2 linked regions of the Alligator mississippiensis genome follow. The protein of the gene in region 1 purifies or fractionates together with the protein of each later gene. This does not show direct contact. Links are inferred from orthologs where the notes say so. Each region holds a gene or a part of one and is shown in the gene's direction. Other genes may lie near its edges.

Evidence for each region. The genes of interacting proteins can lie anywhere in the genome.
Region 2: the proteins of CXCR4 (region 1) and ITCH purify together in Homo sapiens (affinity purification with western blotting; 5 studies listed by BioGRID and IntAct, with this or other methods). This does not show direct contact. The link is inferred for Alligator mississippiensis from reciprocal best matches to the Homo sapiens genes CXCR4 and ITCH.

The regions. Positions count from the first base shown.
Region 1 is NC_081827.1:237,449,887-237,457,797, forward strand, and holds the start of CXCR4 (C-X-C chemokine receptor type 4), read left to right. Parts: upstream 1-4,906; 5' UTR 4,907-4,977; coding exon 4,978-5,001; intron 5,002-6,286; coding exon 6,287-7,345; 3' UTR 7,346-7,911.
Region 2 is NC_081832.1:24,365,669-24,373,336, reverse strand, and holds the start of ITCH (E3 ubiquitin-protein ligase Itchy homolog), read left to right. Parts: upstream 1-4,664; 5' UTR 4,665-4,894; intron 4,895-7,668. Other genes in the region: AHCY (adenosylhomocysteinase), read right to left, coding at 639-829, 4,465-4,492. UniProt on the Homo sapiens protein: Acts as an Acts as an E3 ubiquitin-protein ligase which accepts ubiquitin from an E2 ubiquitin-conjugating enzyme in the form of a thioester and then directly transfers the ubiquitin to targeted substrates.

The DNA.
Region 1 (7,911 bases):
TCTAAAATAACTACTTTCCATCTTCAAAGGGCCTTCCAAACATCAAACAATTAGTCCCTACAACACTCCTCCGAGGCAGGTAAGTAAGTACTCTTACCCACATTTTACAGTTGAGTGAACACAGCAGAGAGGTTAAGTGATTTGCTTTAGGCTACAGATGGAGATGGGATTAGAGCACAAATAATATGAGTATTATTAGATTATGATTAAATAATAAGAGTATTATTATTAGGCTCATCTTTTCTGGGCAGACCATTAAGATCTTAACCCAGTGGAGGTCCAGGCAAGGAATACTTGAAGGAAACCTAAATTAATTACCATCATGCACACACCGGGCCAATTTCAGTCCTCTCAAAGGCAGGAAGCAACTAGGTGTACTCCCTTACGCCATAAATGTCATATTCTGTTGTCTTTTAAGGATGCTAAAGCTTTTACTTTAATTTGCTCCATAAGAAACAATTGAACAACACGCCTTTGCACAGTGTCATTATTATGGCACATGATACGACCCCAACTGAAACAAATGTTTTGCCTTCTCTGCATTTCCTGTTGTTTTGTTTGTTAAGCTCCCAAACAAGTAACTATAGGAAGAATTATGGGGGGCACATCTACACATGGTATTCATCCACAGTAGTTACTGCATATTAAAAAGGAGAAGTAAATTGCCCTCAGAGAAAGGGTCTAAACATGCACTGACTTGGGAGAAAATTTGCTCCTAACTGGAGCAGGTGAGATCAGGGATGTTCCTGCCCCGCTGCCCTGCTCTGCCCCCATTACAATAGCCAGCCTGTTCCTTAACACCAGATCCCTCTCCTTTGTATAAGAAACTATCCTTTCTTCCCCAAACTTCTTCCCAAACATAAACAATAATTCTGGGCAGATTTCCTGCCTTTTTTTTTAATCCAGTATGTATTTTTTCTACCTCAAAGGCTATTTTATAAAACCCTAAAATATACTGGGTTTGTATATGCTTATGTGAGTAGTTAAAAATGCATCTATAATAAATGGCATAGTAATTTAGGCAGATTAATAGTGTATGTATATGTATGGATATATACTGAAGAGAGAGGTAGTTAGCCGTGTTAGTCTCAAGTCAGGCAGAAGCAAGGGTAGATTTGCACAGTAGAGACTAACTGAATCATAGATGTATAGCATGAGTCTTTGAATTAATTAGCAAATGACAAAGTAAAGCTGGGTCTCATGGAGGCTTATGCTATACATCTCTGCTTTAGTTAGTCTATAAAGTGCAATTCTACCCTGCCTTCTGCCTATATATTAAGAAACATATGTGAAGACAGCAGTGTAGCACCTTACAAACTGAGGAGCAGTTAATTCACATAGCATGATACAGACTATTACTATTTGTGTGCATTGTGGTGGTATCTACACAGCATAAATCAGGGATTAGCACCCACGTGTACTAGGTGCCCTACCCACAGAACTGTGTAATCAGCATTTCATTAGCTGAAACTTTGCTTCCCTAAGATCACATTCAACTCCTTAAATGAGGTAACCCACACAATAATTAAATATAAATTATTTTTCTACTCTGGCTCTCTGGAAACATGCTTTATAACTAGTTTTTCAACTAAATATATCAGGAACAATTTTACTCTTCATTGACAGACATAGATATTTCTTTTTAGCAGACAAAATCCATGTTAATGATTCACAACCTGAGGACCTTGGTTGCTTGCACTATAGTTTAAGAATATGTAGGATTTCACTTCCCAAATTGCATGTTTTTATGAAACAAATGCACACTGTGTTGGGAGGGACCTGATTTCCACAGTAATTTTCTCATCAGAAAAACATTTAGTGCAATACATTAGCTTGTAAATTGCTATTTGCTTGCACTGTCTCTTGAAGATTTGTAGCTCACTCATTGAATTACATGCTTCTTTTATCACTTTGGAAATCATTAACCCTCACACTGCAGTCCCCCTTACAACAAAAGAAGTTTTCACATGCATTTTTGGTAGGGCAAAGAAAAGCAACTATAGATACAACACATCTAGATCAGTGGTTCTCAGCCCTTTTAGACTAGAGGTACCCCTCAATAGATGCAAGGCACCATTCAAAAAAATGCCAACTCCTGGTTTTCGCTGTTTTTTTTAAGAAAATAATAGAGCAATTCTTCTGTTGCAATGAACTCAGAAAGACCACAACAGGTTAGAATGTCTTCAACATTATGGATTCCTATTTGAAATGTCTATGGGTTTATCGTGCGAGTTGTTTGCCCACCTAACAGTGCTAATACTGCATGGCACCCTGTGACACCCTAGAAAGGGTATCAAGGTACGCAGCATGTCACAGCACCCTGGTTGAGAATCACTGATCTAGATTTATGCTGGATTCAGGGAGTCTGTACTCCAGTGCTATCCCATTTGGCCAATCTTCAAATATCCTACTTCAGTAGTGCTCAACCTTTTTTCCCCAGCTGGCTGGATGGGCTGGATTGCGCAGCTCTCAATCTGGCACCGGGCCCAGCATGGTGGGCACCATCCAGCAATGCAGAGGGGGATGCGGAGCAACCCAACTGCAACCCAGCCCTGCAGAGAAAGAGGACATGGCTTGGCCCCATAGGGATAAAGCGGGTGTGGCTTGCCCCCATGGAGGGAGTCATGGCCCCAATCTGGCCCTAAGGGGAAAAAGAGGTCATGGCTTGGCCCCAGGACAGGGGCAAGGGGATGTATCCCAGCTCTGCAGGAAGGGAAGTGCACATAACCTGGCATCAACCTAGCCTGTGGCTGGGAGGGGGTGTGACTCAGCCCCTGGTCCAGATGCAGGGGAAAGGGTGAGGCCTGGCTGCAACCAGCCATGCAGAGCTTGGAGTTTGGGAATTTGGTGAAGAGAGGATGTCTGTATTAATGGACACTGCTTCCCTGCCACCAAATTTCCTGCCCCATTAGGGGCCCTGCATGCCAGATGCACTGGGTTTGCAGGCTGCATCTGACCTGTGGGCCAAAGAGTGGGCACCCCTGTCCTGCATAATCTGTGCATGCTATCAGAATTCAGAACCACAGTTCCAGGAGCTAAGACATCCCTCAACCCCAACCTTCGTATATATGTCCTAGTGCAATTTAATGTCATTCATTCAATTATTTCAAGAAACCACTTCCCACTTCTCACACTGACCCTAAACCTCCGTAGTAAACTGAAATAGTAATAGCAGAGTAAACTCACTTTAATCCAGCAAAGGGAACAATAGCAGAGGTAAAATGGGCTTCAGCTCAAGTTAGCAATACAAATACATCATAAACCCACTACCAACATGCTCTAGAGCAGTGGGGGTCAATCTTTTTGCATACCACAAACTAGCACCATAACCTCCCCAAAAGCCACTCCAATCTCCCTCCTTTGCCCAATGTGCTGCTCTGCTTTTCGCTCCATACTCTGTTCTCCCCACCCAGTCTCCTGGTCTACTTTCTGTTTCCCACCTGTACTCCCTGCCTGATCTCCGCCTTTACCTTCTGCTTCCTGCTCTACCTGCTGTTGTGCTGCCTGTCTCCTCCCACATCTGTTCCCTACCACACAAAGAAGCTGCCCATCTGCTGCCTACCACTTGTGCCGCAGGCTAGCCACCACTGCTTTAGAGTCTGTAATCCCACATCTGCATTGCTGTTGTTGTTCTTGCTATCTACATTCAATCTAGTACATATATGACAATCCACACATGCCTACACCCTCATTTTTCTGTGTAGACAAACCATACATCTCTAATACATCCAGTATGCCTTTCCTATTAACTAGTACACTGGCCCTCAAACTTCTGTACCTAGTCTTAAAATCTGTGATACCCCTAAGGTTTTTTTCAGCTTGTCTGCAAGTCTGTTGGTCATAGTTTCAGCCCCAGGAGAGGCAGCAAAACATACTGTAGATGTACCAGGTATGCAGCTGGAGTCCACACCTGACCTTCTCTGTCTTTCCCAGAACACATTCTCCATCAAAACACACCTGTTAACATCCTAACTTCTGGCAACTCAGAGCCAGATTTTCCATAGAGCTCCAGTACTGAGGCACCCAAATGAAATGGCAACTTTTTGGTGGCTTGTGCTGAACTTTTCATTCAATCTGGCCCACAGTCAATGCTTTCAACTTTGAACCAGGAGTAGGAGCTGCTCCAAAGGTGCCCGGCCAGTGGGAAGCCTTTGTATCAGTGGTGTAGAGGGTGCACAGGGGTGCATGTGCACCCCAAGAGTGCTGGTGCACCCCGACAGCCAGCGTACCCCGCTTAGGTGATAGGCGGGGGGGGGGGCAGTGTCCCCCTAAGCACGCTGGTGAGGGGGTGGGGGCTCCAGGAAAAGCGCCCCTGGCACTTGTTGTGATCAGCCATTGGGGGGACCCCCCCTAGTTGCCGACTGGATGCGGGGGGGCAAGTGCCCCTCCCAACTCAGGAGGCACCAGTCGCCCATGCTTTGTATTTAGAGGTTTTAATCACACAGCTGCACTGGCGATGGAAATGTGAACACCGATCACAGATGCTGCTTTTCTGTTTTCCCTTTCCTTTCCTTCCCTTGCCGTCTGCCTGCCTGCCTGCCCCTCTCAGCCCACGAGCTGCTCAGTCATCATCCCGCCCTGTGCCGCCGCAGAGTCCCGAGCGCAGGCCGGCTCCACGGCCGACAAGCACGGGACCTCGCGGAGGAGAGACCCCGGCGGAGAAGGGGCAGCGCGCTGCTCACTCATGTCCCCTCTCTCTCGCTCGGGGTGTCCGGGCCGCTCCCCAGCCAGCAGGTGCCCCCGGCCCCGCGCGGGCCGGCCCAACCCAGCCCAGCCCAGCCGGGCTCAATTCAATCGCGCGCCCTTCACTTTGCAATGGGCTGCCATCCCCGGGACGGGCACGGCCCCACCCAGCGCGGGGCGGCGGGGCAGGGCAGGGCCGGCCCCGCGGGGAGGAGCCAGGCGGGCCGGGTGCGGCGGAGACGATAAGAGCCGGGGCGGCGCGGGGCGTGCTCCGCAGGACGCTGGGGCGGCAGCATGGAGCTGGACGGGCTGGACGGGGTGAGCGCGGCGCTGGGCAAGGGGCCACGTGTGAGCGGGCGGGCGGGCGGGCGGGCGGGCTGCAGCCCCGGCGGGGAGGCGCGGGCAAGGCAGGGCAGGAGCCCGGCTCCCGGCGGGGAGGAGACGGCGCGGGTGCCAACGGGGCTCAGCCCGGCCCCGGCAGATGCTGCCCGGAGGTGAACCCCCACTCCCTCCCCCACAACATGCATGCAGGCGCTGCCCGGAGCAGGGGCGGCACGTGGCCGGAGCCCGGGGGCGAGGCGGGAGTTTCACGCCGGGAGTCCGGAGCGTTGGTGATTTCCCGCCGCGCTGCTTTCGCTACCCGTTTGCACGGGACGCTTCTGCCCGGCTCCCCCGGGCTCCTATGCTGCTAGGCAGGGATCCCCTCCTCCTCCTCCTGCCCGGGATTCCCCTCCTCCCTGCCGGGCTCCCAGCACTACAGATGCAGCCCGCAGCGGGCACAAGCGGGTTTGCTCCCCGTACTTCTGCACCTAATGAGCAAGCGAAACCACTGCCTGGACTGGCATCCTTGGGAAAGTGGTAGGAGATGGTCTAGGCGGACACATCTCAGTGGGGCAGGCAGGAGACTTGACTCTCGTTAGAACAGTGGCATGTAAGGGGTGAAAACGTAAAACAGATGCTGCTTTGGGGCGTGCCGGGAAGCTGCAAGCGGGGGTGATGTTTGGGAACCTCTGGATTTCATAGATTTCATAGAGGTCAGGGCTGGAAGGGACCTCGGAAGATCATCGAGTCCAGCCCCCTGCCCCAGGGGCAGGAAGTCAGTTAGGGTCAAAGGATAAAACTGGGACCTACTGGACTTGGGCGATCCAGTAGGTCTCTCCCGTTTCTCACGGGGGAGGGCCCACTGTCAGCACTGAACGGTAGAGCAGAGGTTCTCAGACTGTGGTCTGTGGCCGCTGGTCCGCAAGGTCCGTTCAGGTGGTCCGCACAAAGGTTGTGGGACGATTGAGAATATCTTTGCTTGTAAGGTATTAAAATAGGAGTTGTGTGCTTTGATTTGTAGAACAAAAAAAAGTTTTAAGTGGTCCGCCGAGACCCTCAGCAATTTTTTCTGTGAAAAAAAAAAAGTTTGAGAACCACTGCTCTATAGAATGACATGGTGGGGAAATGCAGTTATCCTTCATCACCATCACTGTTTCCCAGGCACTTAATTCATTCTTCTATCCCCCTAGGGGTCAAAGCTTTACTTGGCTTCTCTGTATTGTGAAGTGTCTTGGATGAGCTGGAGCTAACAGCTGTTCTTTTTTTACTTTTATTATTGCAGTGGTCTTCTGGGGTCTCCTTTGAATTCCCTGATAATGGCACCGATGAGGTTGGTTCAGGTGAACTTGACCTTAAAGAGCCATGCTATTGGCAAGAAAATGCTGATTTCAACCGGATCTTTTTGCCAACCATCTACTCCATCATCTTCCTGACGGGAATCATTGGCAATGGATTGGTTATCGTTGTCATGGGCTACCAGAAGAAAATGAGAAGCATGACCGACAAGTACAGGTTGCACCTGTCAGTGGCCGACCTCCTGTTTGTCATCACGTTGCCATTCTGGTCTGTGGATGCAGCCATAGGCTGGTACTTCGGGAAGTTCCTTTGCAAGGCCATACATGTCATTTACACAGTCAACCTCTACAGCAGTGTCCTGATTTTGGCCTTTATAAGCTTAGATCGTTACCTGGCTATAGTCCATGCTACCAATAGCCAAAGACCAAGAAAGCTGCTCGCTGAAAAAGTAGTATATATAGGTGTGTGGCTTCCAGCTCTGCTTTTGACAGTGCCTGATCTAATCTTTGCCAAAACTACTGAAGTAGGAGAAAAGTACCTTTGTGACCGCATATACCCTCATGACAACTGGCTGATTTCTTTCAGATTTCAACATATCTTGGTAGGACTTGTTCTGCCTGGTCTAATAATCCTGATTTGCTACTGTATTATCATTTCTAAGCTGTCACACTCAAAAGGTCACCAAAAGCGCAAAGCATTGAAGACTACTGTCATTCTCATCCTTGCTTTCTTTGCTTGCTGGCTCCCTTACTACATTGGCATCAGCATTGACACCTTCATCTTGCTAGGGGTCTTCAGACCACGGTGCAGTTTTGAGACAATGGTGACCAAATGGATCTCCATTACAGAAGCCCTAGCATTTTTCCACTGTTGCTTGAATCCAATTCTTTATGCCTTCCTGGGTGCCAAATTCAAAACATCAGCGCAGAATGCTTTGACATCAGTTAGCAGAGGATCGAGCCTAAAAATCCTTTCAAAAGGCAAACGTGCAGGACATTCTTCTGTTTCTACAGAATCAGAGTCTTCAAGTTTCCATTCCAGCTAACGCTGTCTCATTGCCAACATTTTACAATAAAGAACAATTTTTTTTTAAAGAAGATACACAAGATTTCTGAAAAAACAAGACTGACTATAATGTACAGATTTATATACAGCTGGAGTTTTATATTGTTTCTTTTAGCTTCTGTGAATTTAATTGACTTATTTATATAAACGCTTCCATAATTATGACAAAGTGTCTAGGCAGGACCTGTGGACAAGTGGTTAGTTCACAAAGTTTCAGTGCTTTTTCTGGTTGTATAGGTATGTGAACTAAACACTTCTAGGAGTGTAGCAAGTGACATGTTTAAAATGTATAAAAATGTTTGATTGTTTGTATGTACATATTTTTGAGTTTTGCTGTTTAAAAATTCCTAAACTTGTGATTGATGTTCCAGAATTTTTCCCTTTACTGTAAGTTGTTTGGTTTACAATAGTTTAATTCTGCTGTAGACAGTGGCACTTATAACCAAAGCCTTCTTTGTCATATGCTAGATATTTTTTTTCAGTTCTCAATATTGGTTTGGTTTGCACAACTCTGTTGTGTAAGGTTGTTAATAAAAACATATGATA
Region 2 (7,668 bases), on another chromosome or scaffold:
TTTTTCAGGTGGAAAATGGAGCTGTGGATAAGTCATTTGACCTCTCTAAGGTCACATGAGAAATTCCACCCTTGTTTCTAGAGTCACCACCCTGTTTTTCCTATAATGTTTTCAGACACAGCTTGAAGTCTAGAGTCCATACTCAGATTTAGTAATTGCTTTGCTGACTTTTGAGGGACCTGGAATGATGTTTAATCCATGCTATTCTGTTTTGGAGCCATTCACTTGAGGTTAAGTGATACCAGCAGACTGATACTACTACTGCATGTCAGTGCATAAAGCCATTCGGCAAGGAGCAACCTTTAGCATTATTCTTGAAGCTGATAAGATATCAGCTCATATGGCAAAAAAGGGTTACCGAGACCATGAGCACCTCCTCCTGGCAGAAACAAGCACCTACAGATCATATGGCAAAAAAAGGGTTACCAAGACCATGAGCACCTCCTCCTGGCAGAAACAAGCACCTAGATCAGAATGCAGCCTGTTCAAATCCTGTATTTCACTCAGTGCACTTATGGATTCTGAATGGACAGCTCCAGTATCCAAAAGGAAACAGAAGATGCAACCCATATGTCGGCAACTAGCATTCTAATCTCTTCATAAGGGTGTGCAATCATTTGCTGAAGATAGCGCTTTACCTCTGCTCCCAGCACCACAAGGGTCTCTATCAGAACTGCAGTCTGCACAGTCATGTGAAGGCAACCTGCAATCCGAGCTCCTTTCAATGGTTTCGATGCTCCATACATCTCCCGCATCTTCATCAGCCCTGGCATCTCATTCTCCGCAATCTCGATGGCCTTGCGACCCCATTCTGCTAGGCTGATGTCAGCTGCAAGCAGAAGCAGGACAGGTGGTTTGGACTTGAGTACATGAAACCATGCATACATTTTAGCTTGGCATTTGCTACGACTGCTGTGAAACAAATTAGGCTGGACACCATGCAACAGCTGGGAGAAACAAAATGTCTTCAGCTCATGAAGGGTTTCTATTTTTTCCCCCATTGCATTATGAAGAATTCTATTAAGTTTTGAAGCCAGCATTTCCAAATGCAGGTACAGAAAGCAACAAATATCCCATCTAGGGACAAACTGAAAGTGGCCCAATTTTTAGAAGTACCGAGCTCTTTTTAACTTACAAAATTAACCTTAGGGCAGTAGTTCTTCCCATTCTGAACTCAAGGCACCCTTCATCAGACTTGAGGCACCCCTCCATAACTTCTGTGAAAGGACTGACACCCAATTTCAAAAAACTAATTTATACATGACAGTACTTACTTCCTTGCACAGGGAACAGGTAGTAGGGGTGGGGGAAATCAGGAGGTAGGGACAAGCCTGAGCCTCATCTCCTCTCATCTTGTAACACTGAAAGGATCTAGTGCAGAGGCAGGCAAAATATGGCCTACCAGGTGATTTCATTCAGCCCACAGGCACCCACCAATTAATTGTACCCTACCTATGCTGCATGCTTTGCTCCTACCCTCATGTGCTGGAGGGCCCTGGCCAGCATACACAGCTTCTAGGTGGGACCACTGCTACAGTTTCCAGGGGACCTGCCCAGCTTCCCCAGCCTCCTCCTCCTGTCCTGGCAATAGCACTTGCTCTGGGCACTAGGTAGGAAAGCTGTAGCTGGGCAGAAATGTGAAGCATGTGGCTGGAACTGGTGGGAACATAGAGACTAGGCCCCACCTGCACCCAGCAGGAGTGTGGAGTTTGGGTAGGCAGGATGTGGCTGTATGGGGCTTGTGAGGAATGAGGGAAGGGTGTGGGACGTGAGCCCCCACATATGCCCTTCCCTCCCCACATGGTGCACAACCCCCGCAACAGCAACACATGCCAGGTTCTGGAGGCATGGCAACCAGGCAGCACGCAGCTCCAGCCAGTTCTAGGAGCTGTACATAGTGTCAAGGAACAGAGACAGGCCAACCTGCCTCTATCACGCAGGGCTCACATGCAGCTCCCAGGACTGGTGCACCACTGGGGGAGGAAGCCCCACACGATGGAGCTGGTTGCCTTCTCCACTCCCTGCCAACATATACAGCTTACTGGACTCTGCTGGGAAGCAGGAAGTGTGGCTCCTTGCCACTTCTGGCAGAGTCCCATAAGCTCCACTTGGCAGCAGGGAGCACAGAAGACCTCTGGTTCCATCATGCAGGGTTTCCTTGTGGTGGCACCAGTCCTGGGAGCTGCATGCAAGCCCCACAAGATAGAAACAGGCTGGCCTGACTGCTCCTTTCTGCTATGTAGAGCTCCTGGAACTGACTGGAGTCATGCATCGCCTGGCAGTCACCCCTCCATGGGCTACAAGTACCCCAAGGGTCTGCCACCTGCTGCTGCTACCATTGCCAGCAAGGGCTGCGCCACATTGGGGAGGGAGAGGAAAGAAGGGGCACACACCCTGCCCACCCCCCCCCCAACCTTCCCATATATACATACCCCTCCACCCAAAGTAATTTTTCACCCCAATCTAATGGCACCCCAGAATGCCACAGCACTCTGGTTAAGAGTCACTACTTTAGGCCTTACAATTTATAAATGCAACTGAAATGTGAAACTCATTCCCACCAGATATAGTGGAAGCCGATGGTTCAGCCAGATTCAAAAAAGGGATTGGACACATTCTTGGAGTAAAGAGGCAACAGTTGCTATTGCGCAGGGCAGTTATGGATATAGACTCTGAATTGGAACTTCCTAGACCTTAAATGCTAGAGTCTGCAAGTGGGAAAGAAGTAGAAAAAAAATCCTGGTCGTACCCCATTCACTCTCCTTTTCAGCACCCACTCTGCTGCTGCATGAGACAGGATACTGTGCAAGATGGATCTATAGTCTGACCCAGTAAATAGCAATTCTTATGCCTACATCTATCACTGTGCATGCAGGTTTATTTTCGGAACGTAAGGACTTCTGAGTGCCTCATCACATATACATAGAATATGCTGGCACAGTCTATAAAACAACTTCACAAATTAAAAACAACCCAGTCTTTGCCTATCAGTTGCCGTGAATGATTCCCCCCAGCCAAACAAAAGTCTAACTTTAATCCAGAAGATCATTTCCTAAGTCCTGTAACTAAAAAGATTACTAATTTACTGCTTGTTAACAAAAAAATCCTTTAGTTGAAAAAGTAGTAAAAGCTGAGGTCAAGAGTTCCAAAATCCAAAGTTCTACAGGAGGAGGATACACTTTTCATAATGGACTTGTTTCCAGCCTTGCCTATGGAGACCACTTTCTCCATGACAGGCAGATTAACCCATCTTTTACATTAGCCCAACCCATTATTTTACATTATTTCTATGCCATAATGTCGCTTGCCACTTTGTAAGACAGTTATTCTCCTGAGAAGCCACTTATGTTAGGCTCTTCAGGAGCTCTGTACATCCCTCCCTGGGCTTGAATAACTTAAACTGCAACACCAGTGACTTTGCAACGCATTCTGTTAAGGCTAGTCAATAAATATGATGTGGAATCACAGGCTGTAATGGCAATTACAGTCAAACAGTCTGATCACAAGACAGAAAACATTTCCGACCTATAAGATCCCAATAATTCCTAAACCAAGCCCACCCCTTTGGTGTCAGCAATAGCTTGTACATAATAGGCCTTCATTGGCTTGTATACATCATGGTGCCAGCAGGTCTGGGAGAGGCCACATCAAACATACCATGACCACCAACACCCTCCAGAGCTAAAAGTTTGTCAGTGAGGCCTGTTCAGGTTTATCCCCCAAAGTCGCTTCCAGGCCTGTCACAGACTGATGGTTCAAAAACAGGCACAACAGGATGAGCTCAGTGGCAATCCTCTAGGTTTGGATTGCACCTGTAGCCATCAGCGAGTCAAGCATGCCGGCTGTCCTCCTAGCTGGCACCTGCCACTGTTTGGGGCCATTGCTGCAGGAAGGATGAAAGCAACTAAGGAGAACTGAGCCCTGGAGGTTAACATTGTCTAGGGCTTATTTAAATAGGACCAGCAGTGGGATGTGGAGCAGAAAGGAAGGTCTTGGGGCTACTTCGGGCTGCTCATGTAACGGGTGGAAGCAGTCTATAGGAGCAGCTTGGATGTGTCCTAACGGAGGGACCCAAGTAGTTTCCTACAGATATCTCCTCCCGCTTCCTGGGGTTGAAGTAAAGCAGCGCTCGTAGCAGCTAGGGGAGGGGACGCTCTCCGCAAAGCCGTGCAGGGACTGTACAAAAAACAGCACCGGGACAGAAGCCGGCCCCGTGCGCCCAAGGGAGTAGGCCAGGCCAGCCCTGCTCTGCTCTGCTCCCCGCGGAGCTACAGACCCTGCACCCGCCCGGCCCGGCCGCGTGAGGAGCCCGCAACTGAGGCCGGGGGGAGGCGCCGGGCTCCTGCAGGGGGAGGCGGAGCCGCTGCCCCGGGCAGGTTGCCCAGCCCCGCGCAGAGCCGGGTCCGGCTCCCCACGTGGCGGCCGCGCTGCAGGCCCTACCGGGCGCAGCGAGAACCCACTCACCGACTTTGTAGGGCAGCTTGTCGGACATGCCGGGGCCGGGATCCGGAACCGCGGGCTGCGGGCGCTGGGCGGGCTGCGCGAGCTCGTGCGCGCGCCGGGTCAAGGGCTGAGGGAGGTGCTGGCGCCAAAGCCGGCTTTAAATAGGCTCCGTTCCGCAGCCCGCCGCAGCCAATGCCCGCGTGGGGCGGGGCTGAGCCGGGCCGGCCGTGGGGAGCGGAGCGGAGCAGAGCAGAGCATGCGGGCAGGCCTGGCGCGGGGCCTTTGCCCGCTCCGGGCCCTCGCCCGCTCGCACTGGCGGCAGCTGAGCGATCAGGCCATGTCCGTAGGCCCTGGCCTTCCTCCTGCCCCTACTCCTGCCACGTGCCCGAGCCCTCGGGTCAGGGGAGCCGCGCGGGCGCTTCTGGGCCCCGTGGCTGGAGCGGGGCCCGAGGTGAGGTGCAGCCACGCGCCCGCGGAGGGGCCCGCGCGGACGAGCGGCGCCGAGGGGGGGAGCCGCAGGGACGCGGACGAGCCGCGCTGCCCCTTCAGCCTGCGGCCCCTTGCGGGAAGTGCCCGCTCTCGGCTCGTGCTGGGCTTTGGACTGGGAAAGATGCTGGGGCGGGTCTTCTGGGGAAGACGGGGGTGTGGGGAGCCCGGGCGACGGGCTTCTCTGCTGGGAGTCTCGGGTCACCTTGGGAATCCTGTCGGGCTGTGGCTATCGTGGAAGGCAGGGTAGATGTGGACCTGCAGACCAACGGAAGTGTGTGTGTGTGTGTCTCCTCTGCAGTCCCTCCATCAGCTCACTGTTGGGTCTTGAGGTGCCTTGAGCCCAATCCTAGAGCTAGGATCCATCTTCAAAAGCTTGCAGGTCTTTCTATGGGGGAGATTAGGCTATAGGCTGGGATTCCTCTTCCTTTCCTTCCTCTGCTCTCTCTTTGCTTCAAGGGCAAGATGCTTTATCTCAAAGCAGGTTGTCAGCAGAAGCTTTGGTGAGCTAAATCTACTTTGTTGGATGCTGACACCTCATGAAGTGAACTTCAGTTCACAAAAGCTTCTGCTAGCTAGCTATACATATATGTGTGTGTGTATATAGTTTGCTTAGTCTAAGGTGCAACCCTACTCTGCCTCCCACTTGACTTCAGACTGACACAGGTAACTATAGGCATGTCACATTTTACGTGGGGGTTACGTTCTAAAGGCAGCACAAAAGGCGAAAATCGTGTATAGTGAAATCGCGTTACCGTGCCAGCGGTGACTGCCTCTGCTTCCAAAACCTCCTGCTGCCGCCACAGAGCTGTGCTTAGAGCTGTAGGGCCAGCGGCAGTGGCGCAGCGCAGGGTGGTGGTGGGGATGGCTGCGTGCTACCCGGCCACCACCACACCTGGCGGCCGGCCCACAGCTCCGGGCACAGCAGGAGGTTTTGGAGGCAGAGGCAGTCACCACTGGCAGCGTGGCAGTGGCTGGGCCTCCAGGTAAGCGGCAGCTCTGTAAGGGGGTAAGCACTGTTATAAATATTTTTTTGAAATGATGTACCACTCAATTCACAAAAGGCACCATGATGTAGACAAAAGTTATGGAGGGGTACCTCAAGTCCAAGGAGGCATGCCTTGACTCTAAACAGGTTGAGAACCACTATTTTAGGGCAGTGATTCTCAGCCTTTTTTGTACCAGGCCCCATTTGTAAACATCAATGGCCAGTCCTAACCCAGTGCCCCTCACTGCTGACCTGCTGCCCCCAGGCCCCAGCCCTCCATACATCCACCCCTTTCCCCACACATTGGAGACATGGGGAGCCCCAAGCAGCCCCAAGAATCCCTTGAGACTGGAACTCTGCCAGCCTGCAAGGGAAAAGCCACGGTTTTCCATGTTTTTCTCCATTAAAAGAGAATCCATTTTTGAAGTTTGTTGATCCATTTTTAAAGTTTGTCCACAGCCCTTATATATATTCTTGCAACCCACTTGTTGAGAAATCCTGCTTTAGAGGGTCACAATCTAGGGAATCAGGAATAGATGAGGTCCAGGCCAGAGTCAAGACTCAGGGGAAGCAGAAGCAGGCAGATGAGGGCTTGAAGTCTGCAAAGGGACCAAGGTTAAGCCACTAATAAGGGGCTTATAGGGGGCATAGTTAAGATCAGGAAGCCAGGATCCAGACTGGTGTTACTAGCCAAGGAGTACAGAGTAGAGAACTGCAATTGTAAGGGACCGGAATGTGAGCGTGCAGGTAACTTGAGGCCATCTAGGGGGAATTGCTCCACTTGGGTAACAAGGGCCAGATAGGAGCTAATTAATTTGCCCCTGATACTAGGGTTTACACTGGCATAGCTACATTTGGTTAAAAAATCATTCCTCTACCTGGCATATCAATAGTGAAATCTCTTTTTAAATGTTGACTAGGCCTAAGGAATGCATATTATAAAATTCCTACAGCCTCTGTGTTGTACAGTAGTACAACAAGCAATGTTTTGCTCTTTTCAGAACTTCTTCCTCAGAAAAGGAAGAACAAAGACCTTTTCCATACAGCCCTTCATTTTATTAGTCTGTGTAACTAGTTAATCTGTTACACATTTATACCATGCTCTGTACTTTGCTGGATCACCCATGCAGATCAAGAGAGCCATATTTCGAAGGTCAGACCCTCACAGTGTTAGTCCTGAAAATGGGATGTTCAGGTGAAACTGCACATTGAGCAATTGCTAATGGCTGATCTCAAGGCAGATTAAATCACTGTTTCTGTTCTGAACTTTAGACTTAGTTGTTGTGTATTTTTAGCTTGTTAGCTAGTTAAATGAATGCAATTGCTTGAGAAGGTGAAGAGACAGTCAAGCCAGACTAGATCATTGGCCTTTCTGACCTAGTCTCCTGCCCATAGCCAGAACCAATGCCTGCAGCTTCTAAGGAAGGCAAAGATCCTCATAATAAATCAGAATGTTTAGGCAATAACGTTCATATTTACATTGGTTTTTCTCTTTTCCACTATGTGAAATAAGTTCCTCAGAAGCAGCACATGTAAAACTGGGAGAATAGCTCATAGCTGATATTTTGAGATTAGTTTGACCTCGTATTGTTTGGGAATTAGCTGCAGGCAGAGGATTCTTTCATCAGATGTTATGCAAAAGTTTTTCGTTGTGTTGACTAATCTAAAAAAAAAAGTAGTGAAGGAGTAGGTCAAGCTGTCCTTGATATTCTGTGATAAATCCTATTAAGTCATATAGTCCTGTTGCATTT